Linked DNA regions of Tamandua tetradactyla. The protein of the gene in region 1 interacts with the protein of each later gene in a pairwise test. Links are inferred from orthologs where the notes say so. Each region holds a gene or a part of one and is shown on either strand. Other genes may lie near its edges.

Region 1 (3,751 bases):
TCCTCATTCAATATTGCTGGCTGGGAGCTTTTGGATTGTTCCCATGGAGATGTGACCCCACCCATTCCAGGTGGGTCTTGATTAGCTTGCTGGAATCCTTTAAAACAGGAAACACTTTGGAGAGAGAGCCAGAGAGCCAGAGAGCCAGAGAGCCACAGAACCACAAGAGCCCAGGTAGCCAGAGACCTTTGGAGATGAAGGAAAATGTCCCTGGGGGAGCTTCATGAAACAAGAAGCCTGGAGAGAAAGCTAGCAGAGGAAGCCATGTTTACCATGTGCTTTTCCAGTTTACAGAGAAACCCTGAACATCTTCGGCCTTCATGAACCAAGGTACCTTTACCTGGATACCTTAGATTGGACATTTCTATATCCTTGCTTTAATTTGGACCTTTTCACAGCTTTAGAACTGTAAACTTGCAATGTAATAAATTCCCATTTTAAAAGTCGTTCTGCTTCTGGTATATCACATCCCAGCAGCTAGCAAACCAGAACAGGTACAAGTCCAAATTTCTCCCAATCACCACCTTTCATTCGGTACTAGGAGATCATAACCCATCCCCAACCACTCAGGATCTGGCCCTTTCTTCTGGGATACCACTGCCCTTTTTGGCCCCAGCCCACCCAAGGCCAGTGGTTATAACCACCCTGGAGTACTCCCCTGAAGGTGAGGTCCAGTTTCTAAGACTGAGATTTAAAGTTACACTAAAAGGAATAAAATTAAATAAGGGAACCAACGTGGATTCCAAAGATTTGTGTAAAAGAGCACTTCGACTTAGAAATCTATACTAAACACTGTACAACACAGCTAAAAGAAGCCCTATTAAATCTGGATGAAAGCCTTTCTAATCAGTTTCTAAATATCCTACATTATCACTAAAATACATCATTGTGGAAACTAGAATACTCCCCTTAAAGTGAGCAAATAGGGAAAAGTCTAAAATCACGTACCAACATAAGAAAAATACTTGAGTGGGAAACGTTTTCAAAGCAGAGAACAGCATAAAAGCCTTTAATCCTGCTACAGAAGGGCAAGCCAAATGGAAAAACTCGAGAGGTCAAAGGAAGGGTCGTGTCTGGGAGCTATGCGATTTACATAATTTATAACAGAGAGATGGAAACAACCTCCTCCTCAGTGCAGCTGTAAACTCCTCTTCCACAAAGGGGAAGAGATGTCTCCTATAATAACAAGTCTCTACGCCTTCTGGAGCTTTTCTAAATATATTCTTACAAATGCTTCTTTTAAAAAGGGCTAAAACGTGTGGCGTAGCTGATAATCTGTCTTCAAATTGAATACGAAGTCAACAAAGAAACATCCCATAGCTCAAATTCCACAGTCAGCGGGTCTTCAGAGCATACCTTCCAGATTATCACGCGGTTCACTGACTGAGAACTCCGTTACCTTATCAGTAGAGAGACCGCCAAGTGTCACCGACTGTAGAGCTATTCTCTTGCATTAAGTAGTAATCCCTCTTAGGGTAGCCAGGCCCCCATAGAATCACCACCAGGCAGCTTCCGCCGTTACTGAAACCTCCTTCAACGAATTTTACTGTTTAAAACTAAACCAGATTTCCTACCACGCAAGCATTTCTCAGGAAAGACCCACACTTCAGAGAAGTGTGCTGGGAAAAGAGAGTCGCCTACCCTGCTGGGTCCCTCGGTCCTCTAGGACTCCCGTTTCCGGCGTGGTCCCACTTGCCGTCCCTAAGATACGAGTTCATTCCTGAAGCGCACTTAGAAAGTTACCTAGCACAGGTAAAAGATCAGTAAACCTTCAAAACAAACAAGAGTGGCCAACAATCTCGCTGCAAATCGCCCCGGCACCATCCAGCCTCCTCCATTACCTGCCCTCGCGGGGCATGAACGACAGCGTCCCTATACTTCCTTCCACGTTTTCCGCAAAGTGTAAGTCACCGCGATTCCTGGCTCTTCCTGCTGGCTTCACGGGACACAGCGCAACTCCTTCGCTCAACAACACTTGCTACGATTATATATGTATATATGCATATATTTTGATAACTTTTGAGCGCTCCTCGGGCACCTGCAAAACGGCACCTACAAAGCAGATGGGTCAGAAGGCCGGCTGTCGGGAAGCTTCAACGGCTCACGCCGGGGCAGCTGCCGTGTGCTCACCCTGCCCCTCCGACACCGCCGCCGTTTTCTGAAAGCTCGCCTTGGGCGCCGTGGGCAGCCGGAGCCGGCCGGGCACGGGTGGGGGGTCAGGACCCGGGCCCCGCACTCACTGTTGTACTGCACCCCCTTGGCGAAGCGCCGCTGCAGTGCCTGGTTCATGGACTGCAGCCCGGCGGGGATGTTTTTGTCTCGGACCGGAGCCTGCTCCGACCCCACCAGCTTCTTCAGGGCGGAAAACATCTTCCCGCTGGGAAGTCCGAGCCGGGCCTCGGCCGGAGAGCTCAGCGGCGGCGGCGGCGGCGACGGCGGGGCGGCGGGGCGCGCACCATGTCCCGCGGCCCGTGGGCCGGGCGCGGGTCTCCCCCAAGGCCGGAGCCGGGGTCCCGGCGGCCAAGGGCGGCGAGGGCGCCAGGGACGGCGCCTGCCTCGCTCGGCCGCTCCGTGGCCTCAGGCGCGGCGGCTCCGATCCGGCCCCAGCGGCCTCCAGCACGGCCGCCCTCCGTCTGCCAGCGGCGCCATCTTGGTGGGAAGCGAGAACGCGGCGGTTACGGGGCGCCGCGAGGGACACGGGCGTGAGGCGCGCGCATGCGCAGGGCCGGCCCGGGACGGCGGGCTTCCCGAGAGCACCTGGTCTCTCGCAGCCGATCGTCTACCCCCAGGGCTTCCAAACCACGTGGACCCCGACCGCACCTCCCCTCCGACCCCCCAGCTCAGGGCCAGAAGCCCAGATTTACGCCGGACAGCCCTCTCGTCTGCAGGTCTTCCCAACGATACCCCCAAGATCCCACTCTTTGCCTGTTCATTTTCTCCGAGACTCCGGTCTCACCCCCAGTGACTCTCCTCCAGTCCTGGAAAAATGTTTATTTGTGTAACAAAGAGCTGGCGAAGGGGTGGCAGGACGGGGCTACTTCTTCTTCTTCTTGGCCCCCTTGAGCTTCCCTTCTATTAGCCGCTGGCCCTGCCTCTTGATCTCTGCCCGCGAAGGCACGTAGCTGAGGTCCACGTCGGCGAACTGGAAGGTTTCTGCAGGAGGGGCGGTGTCCTGCAGCCCCGCCCTAAGCCCACGGACCCGCCCGCCCCCCGCCGCGGCCGCACAGGGCGTGGGCCACCGCCAGAACCCGGCGGTACCTATCATATCCTCCTCCAGGTCCTCAAAGCTGATCCTGGTGTTGTACTTCTCCTTCAGAGTGGACGACTCCAGGATGTCCCTCACCTTCGTGCTGATCTGTAGGCCAGAACACCCTTCAGCTTTGCAAGAGCTGGCCGGCGGCGCGGGACCCGCGTGCCGGGCGCCTCCCACCCGCGGCTACCTCCTCGGTCCTGGACAGTGTCTGCACCCTGTCGATCAGGTACGTGAGCTTCTCCTCGCAGTAGGCCAGTTTGCTGTACACATCGAGGGTGCCGGTGGGCGCCGCTTCTTTCTGTGGGCAGAGAAATCCGTGGGATCTCCCCTCTGCCGGCCCCATCCTACCCCGGGGAGGACTTGGGCCACACCTGGGTCGTGGGCCCCGAGATGCCGATCAGACGGATGTAGAGGTTGTCAATGCCCGTCTGGATGGTCAGCAGCAGCTGCTGGCTCTTGGTCATGTTGCTGTAGGCCAGCTGGAGTCTTTTTTCTTCC
Region 2 (3,751 bases), on another chromosome or scaffold:
TCTGAGAGCTACAGATGTTTAGAATCTCTAGGAAATGGGAAAGAAAGGACCATTAGCCACAGTTTGTCTAAGAATCAAACTATATTAAGGCTGTTAAGTATAGTATAAAGTCATATGTGATAATTTAAATTTTTTTTTGATGCAAAGTTAGGGGAATTCCGCCCCTGCCCCTTTTTTCTTCAAACCAGATATTGTGGGGGGCTCCACTACTTAAAGCAGTCGAAAGATGAAGTAGGGCCCCCTCCCCACAGGTTCCCCCTTAGCTTCTTTAACTCCATCTCTTGAACATGCCTCTACAAAACCTCTGAATTATAGTGATATCAGTTTGAAAACTCATGGTCTTGTTAGATTCCCTCAATTGACAGACAGGATGGGACCCACCCAAGCAGAGGAGATAGATGACTCCACCCTGACCTGACTATGAAGCAATCAATTTTTAATCCCCACCAGCTGTTTCTGGATGGGACTTAGTACAGCTTATATAGAGTTAAGTAGGCTCCTGGGACGAGGTGGGGTTTTAAATGGAGGGCACTGGACCCAACGTCCTTTGCTTCCTCTGAGGTACTCACAAGCTCGCAGCACACAGGAGACATTCATTCCCATAGGTGATGTAGTTAGAGCCACAAACAGGCAGGTATGTGATGGGGCAGGGGATGGCCACCACTGGGTACTTCTCATAAATGCTGCAGTTCACCTGTGACAGACATATAAGAAGGACCTGTTTTTCTCCCAGCCCCAAGCTAGGATACACTCTATTGGACAGGCAGCAAGAATACCATCCTGGAAGTCCCAGCTCAAATATTCTGATGCTATTGCTTGTCTCTGCACCACGATGACAAATGATAGCATTACTACCATCACTTTGTTTATTATTACTACATTCAGTTAGCAGTTGCTGAGCATTTCTGTGCCAGGCAGTAAATCTGTATCTGATCTGACATTTCTTTTTTAAGTTTCCACAACTGTATAGGGTAGACTCTAGTAGTATACTTATTTAGAGAGAGGGGAATTAAAGCTTTGAAATAGAAAACTTGAGTAAGATAAGTGCAAGTAAATAGTAGAGTTGGGAATTGAATACAGAGCTTGTTCAATTAACCAAGGCAACGCTGACCAGCCTCTCGCATGTTGTACCTTCCATGAAGACTTCACCAGCCTCTCAGCTGGCAGTCATCTCTCTCTCCTTTAACACCAGAATAGGTTAACCATGAGTATATTATTACTTATATGTAAGTCATGTTTTTGCAATTACTATTTAGAGAGCAGAGCACGTTTTTCATCTGTGTCTGTCTTTTGCTAATGTCTCCCTAAACACATTGCGATTGAAATTAAAATGTTACTCAATGTATGTACTGTACTCACCCTTGTTAAAGACAGACTGGCAGCTTCTGAAAGACAAATGCATATAGAAATGTTAAAAAGAAAGTAAAGCCTTGAAATCTAATTAGTTAATATAATTTTGTCCTATAAGTGTGATAGGTCCTATAGGTTAACTATTTTGCATTTCCTCTGGCAATGAGTCTTGGCTTATACCCCCTTCTTATACAAAGTTCCAGCTATTCAGCTATTTGCTGAGGAGTTGAATGGCCAGTGGGCCAAGTGACAGGTAAATCCTTGGTTCAGGCAAAGGAGTTATCCATATTTCCTCCTTTGATTGGCCACCGGAGGTCTTCAGTAACTCATAGTATTTTGGATAATGGCCCAAACTCAAGTAACAATAGTATAAGTAGCACTGATTGCAGTCATCACTTCTTAGAGCCTGAGAAACACCATCTTTAATATGCACTCCCTCCTAATTGAGATTAAAGAAGGTAATTAAATGCCTTTAAGGTGCTAGATTTTTATTTTAATTAATTTTGTACCATATAAAAGTTTAATGGTGGATCCCTAGCTTATGGAGAATTTTGTTTTATTTTGAGCCTCCTAGATTGATCTAGGAAATCATCCAAGTTCTGCATCATTTCCCTGAAGAATAGTATTAATAACACTTTTCATTTCCAGTGTCATCATGGCTGATAGAATTATGGAGAAAGGAGTTCAACTTTTTGCTCCATGGATGGAGATCAGAATCCTCGAAAGGGAAAGACGTTAGCCCCAATTCCTCCAATCTCCAGCTGGGGCCTAAGCTTCTCCCTTTCCATACATATGCCTTTCTAGTACAAAGCGGTACACTTTAAATCCGTACAACCACACATTTCTCTCAGATGCTCCTATCCAGGAAAACAAGCTGAGTGGCTGTGTGGAGCACTGTCCACCCCTCACTCACCCGTCCTGCTGCAGAAATGGGCCACTGTACAGAGCAGAAGGAGACCTCGGACGATCTTCATTGTGGAGGCCCTGTGATGTAGAGACTGCTCGGGGGCTGTCACCACCAGCACGGTATCAGCCATGCCCAGGAGAGGCGTCACGTATATAAGCCGACATAGCTTCTCCGCCTTTCCTGTGAGATCATCCAAAGTCACGATTGTCCCTAAGAGGCTTTCTAAGCAGACGTCGCACCCTGGGTGGCATTAGAGTCCTCGTTACTTAAGTGCTACTTCCTATCTGACTAAATTGATTTGAGGTGAGAAGCATTTTTCTGCCTGCCACATAGTGCCTGGCAACTGTTACTTAGAATTCTAAACTTCATAGAGTAAAAGAGCTTTTTGGTTTAGTTACAAAATAAGAGAAAAGTTAACATTTCTTTTATTCCCCCCAAATGGGGGATATTAAACCCAGATTAGACAGATTGTACCTATGCTTATATCTTGCCTCCTAGGAAAGTGTTGTTTTATTTTTTGAGACAATGAACCTATGAAACAAGCCAGGTTCTAGTGGAGAGACTCTGACATCTCAGGTGCAATCCCTACCCTAGTTTATCATCTTTGAGGCCTTCTGGTGAATCGTAATGAAAAGACATACGAAGTTCAGCCTCTGTATCCTTTTTCAGCCTCTGTATCCTTTGTCCAAGCACCTTCATAATTGGACTCCAAAATTTCTCTTCAGTTTCCTGTTTCCATGCTCACCATGGAAAGATTCTCCATTCAGGCAAAAATCTCATACTATGTAGCTAGCAAACTGGTCAACCATAGTCTTTTTACACTGAGCCCAAAATAAGAATTAGAACCCTTCTGAACACAAGCAGTCAACAGCCATCAATCAGGGTTGTATACAAGGAAAGTATGTTTTTATAACATCTGATTTCAAGGAAAGGATATTAGTTGATAGATGTTTAGACAAGTACAGAGGAAATCAGTGAACCATTTGCTGGCTGGTTGCACTGACCTGTCACTGTTTATGTTAACCTTGATTACTTGCCTGAGGTAGTGTTTATTAGGTTTCCCCACTTTAAAGTTGATTTCTTTTCTCCCCACCCCCCTTTACATTCTGTGTTCTTTGAGAGGAAGTCACTTTGCATAGCCCCTACATAAGGACTGGGGAGTTTTTATGCTCCAACTCTGAGGGTGAAGTATCTATGTAAATTGTTTGAAATTATTCTGCCCAGGGGAGATTTGTCTCTTCTCCCTCAACTGTTTATTCATTCATTCATGTCAGTACGGACTCATGGACTTTATTTGTTTAGGGTTATAATTGAATACTATGTTATTTATTTTGTTGCTCAAATTGTTCCAGCTTTGGCCATTGGAGCTTTTTCAGTTTGTTTCTGTGTCCCTTTGACACAGCTCCACCGTTTTTTGTTTGTTTGTTTGTTTGTTTGCGTTTTAACACGTCTTTACTTTTCAGCATTGCAAGATGTTCCAGGCTCATCTTGTAT

Evidence for each region.
Region 2: the proteins of RABL6 (region 1) and SPINK7 interact in binary tests that used the Homo sapiens proteins (3 or more experiments, as listed by UniProt). The link is inferred for Tamandua tetradactyla from reciprocal best matches to the Homo sapiens genes RABL6 and SPINK7.

What each region holds. Positions count from the first base shown.
Region 1 is NC_135328.1:131,291,753-131,295,503, forward strand, and holds the start of RABL6 (rab-like protein 6), read right to left. Parts: upstream 2,441-3,751; 5' UTR 2,371-2,440; coding exon 2,241-2,370; intron 1-2,240. Other genes in the region: CCDC183 (coiled-coil domain-containing protein 183), read right to left, coding at 3,035-3,153, 3,259-3,355, 3,441-3,551, 3,625-3,751. UniProt on the Homo sapiens protein: May enhance cellular proliferation. May reduce growth inhibitory activity of CDKN2A.
Region 2 is NC_135346.1:29,147,774-29,151,524, reverse strand, and holds the start of SPINK7 (serine protease inhibitor Kazal-type 7), read right to left. Parts: upstream 2,416-3,751; 5' UTR 2,388-2,415; coding exon 2,264-2,387; intron 1,386-2,263; coding exon 1,360-1,385; intron 695-1,359; coding exon 570-694; intron 1-569. UniProt on the Homo sapiens protein: Probable serine protease inhibitor.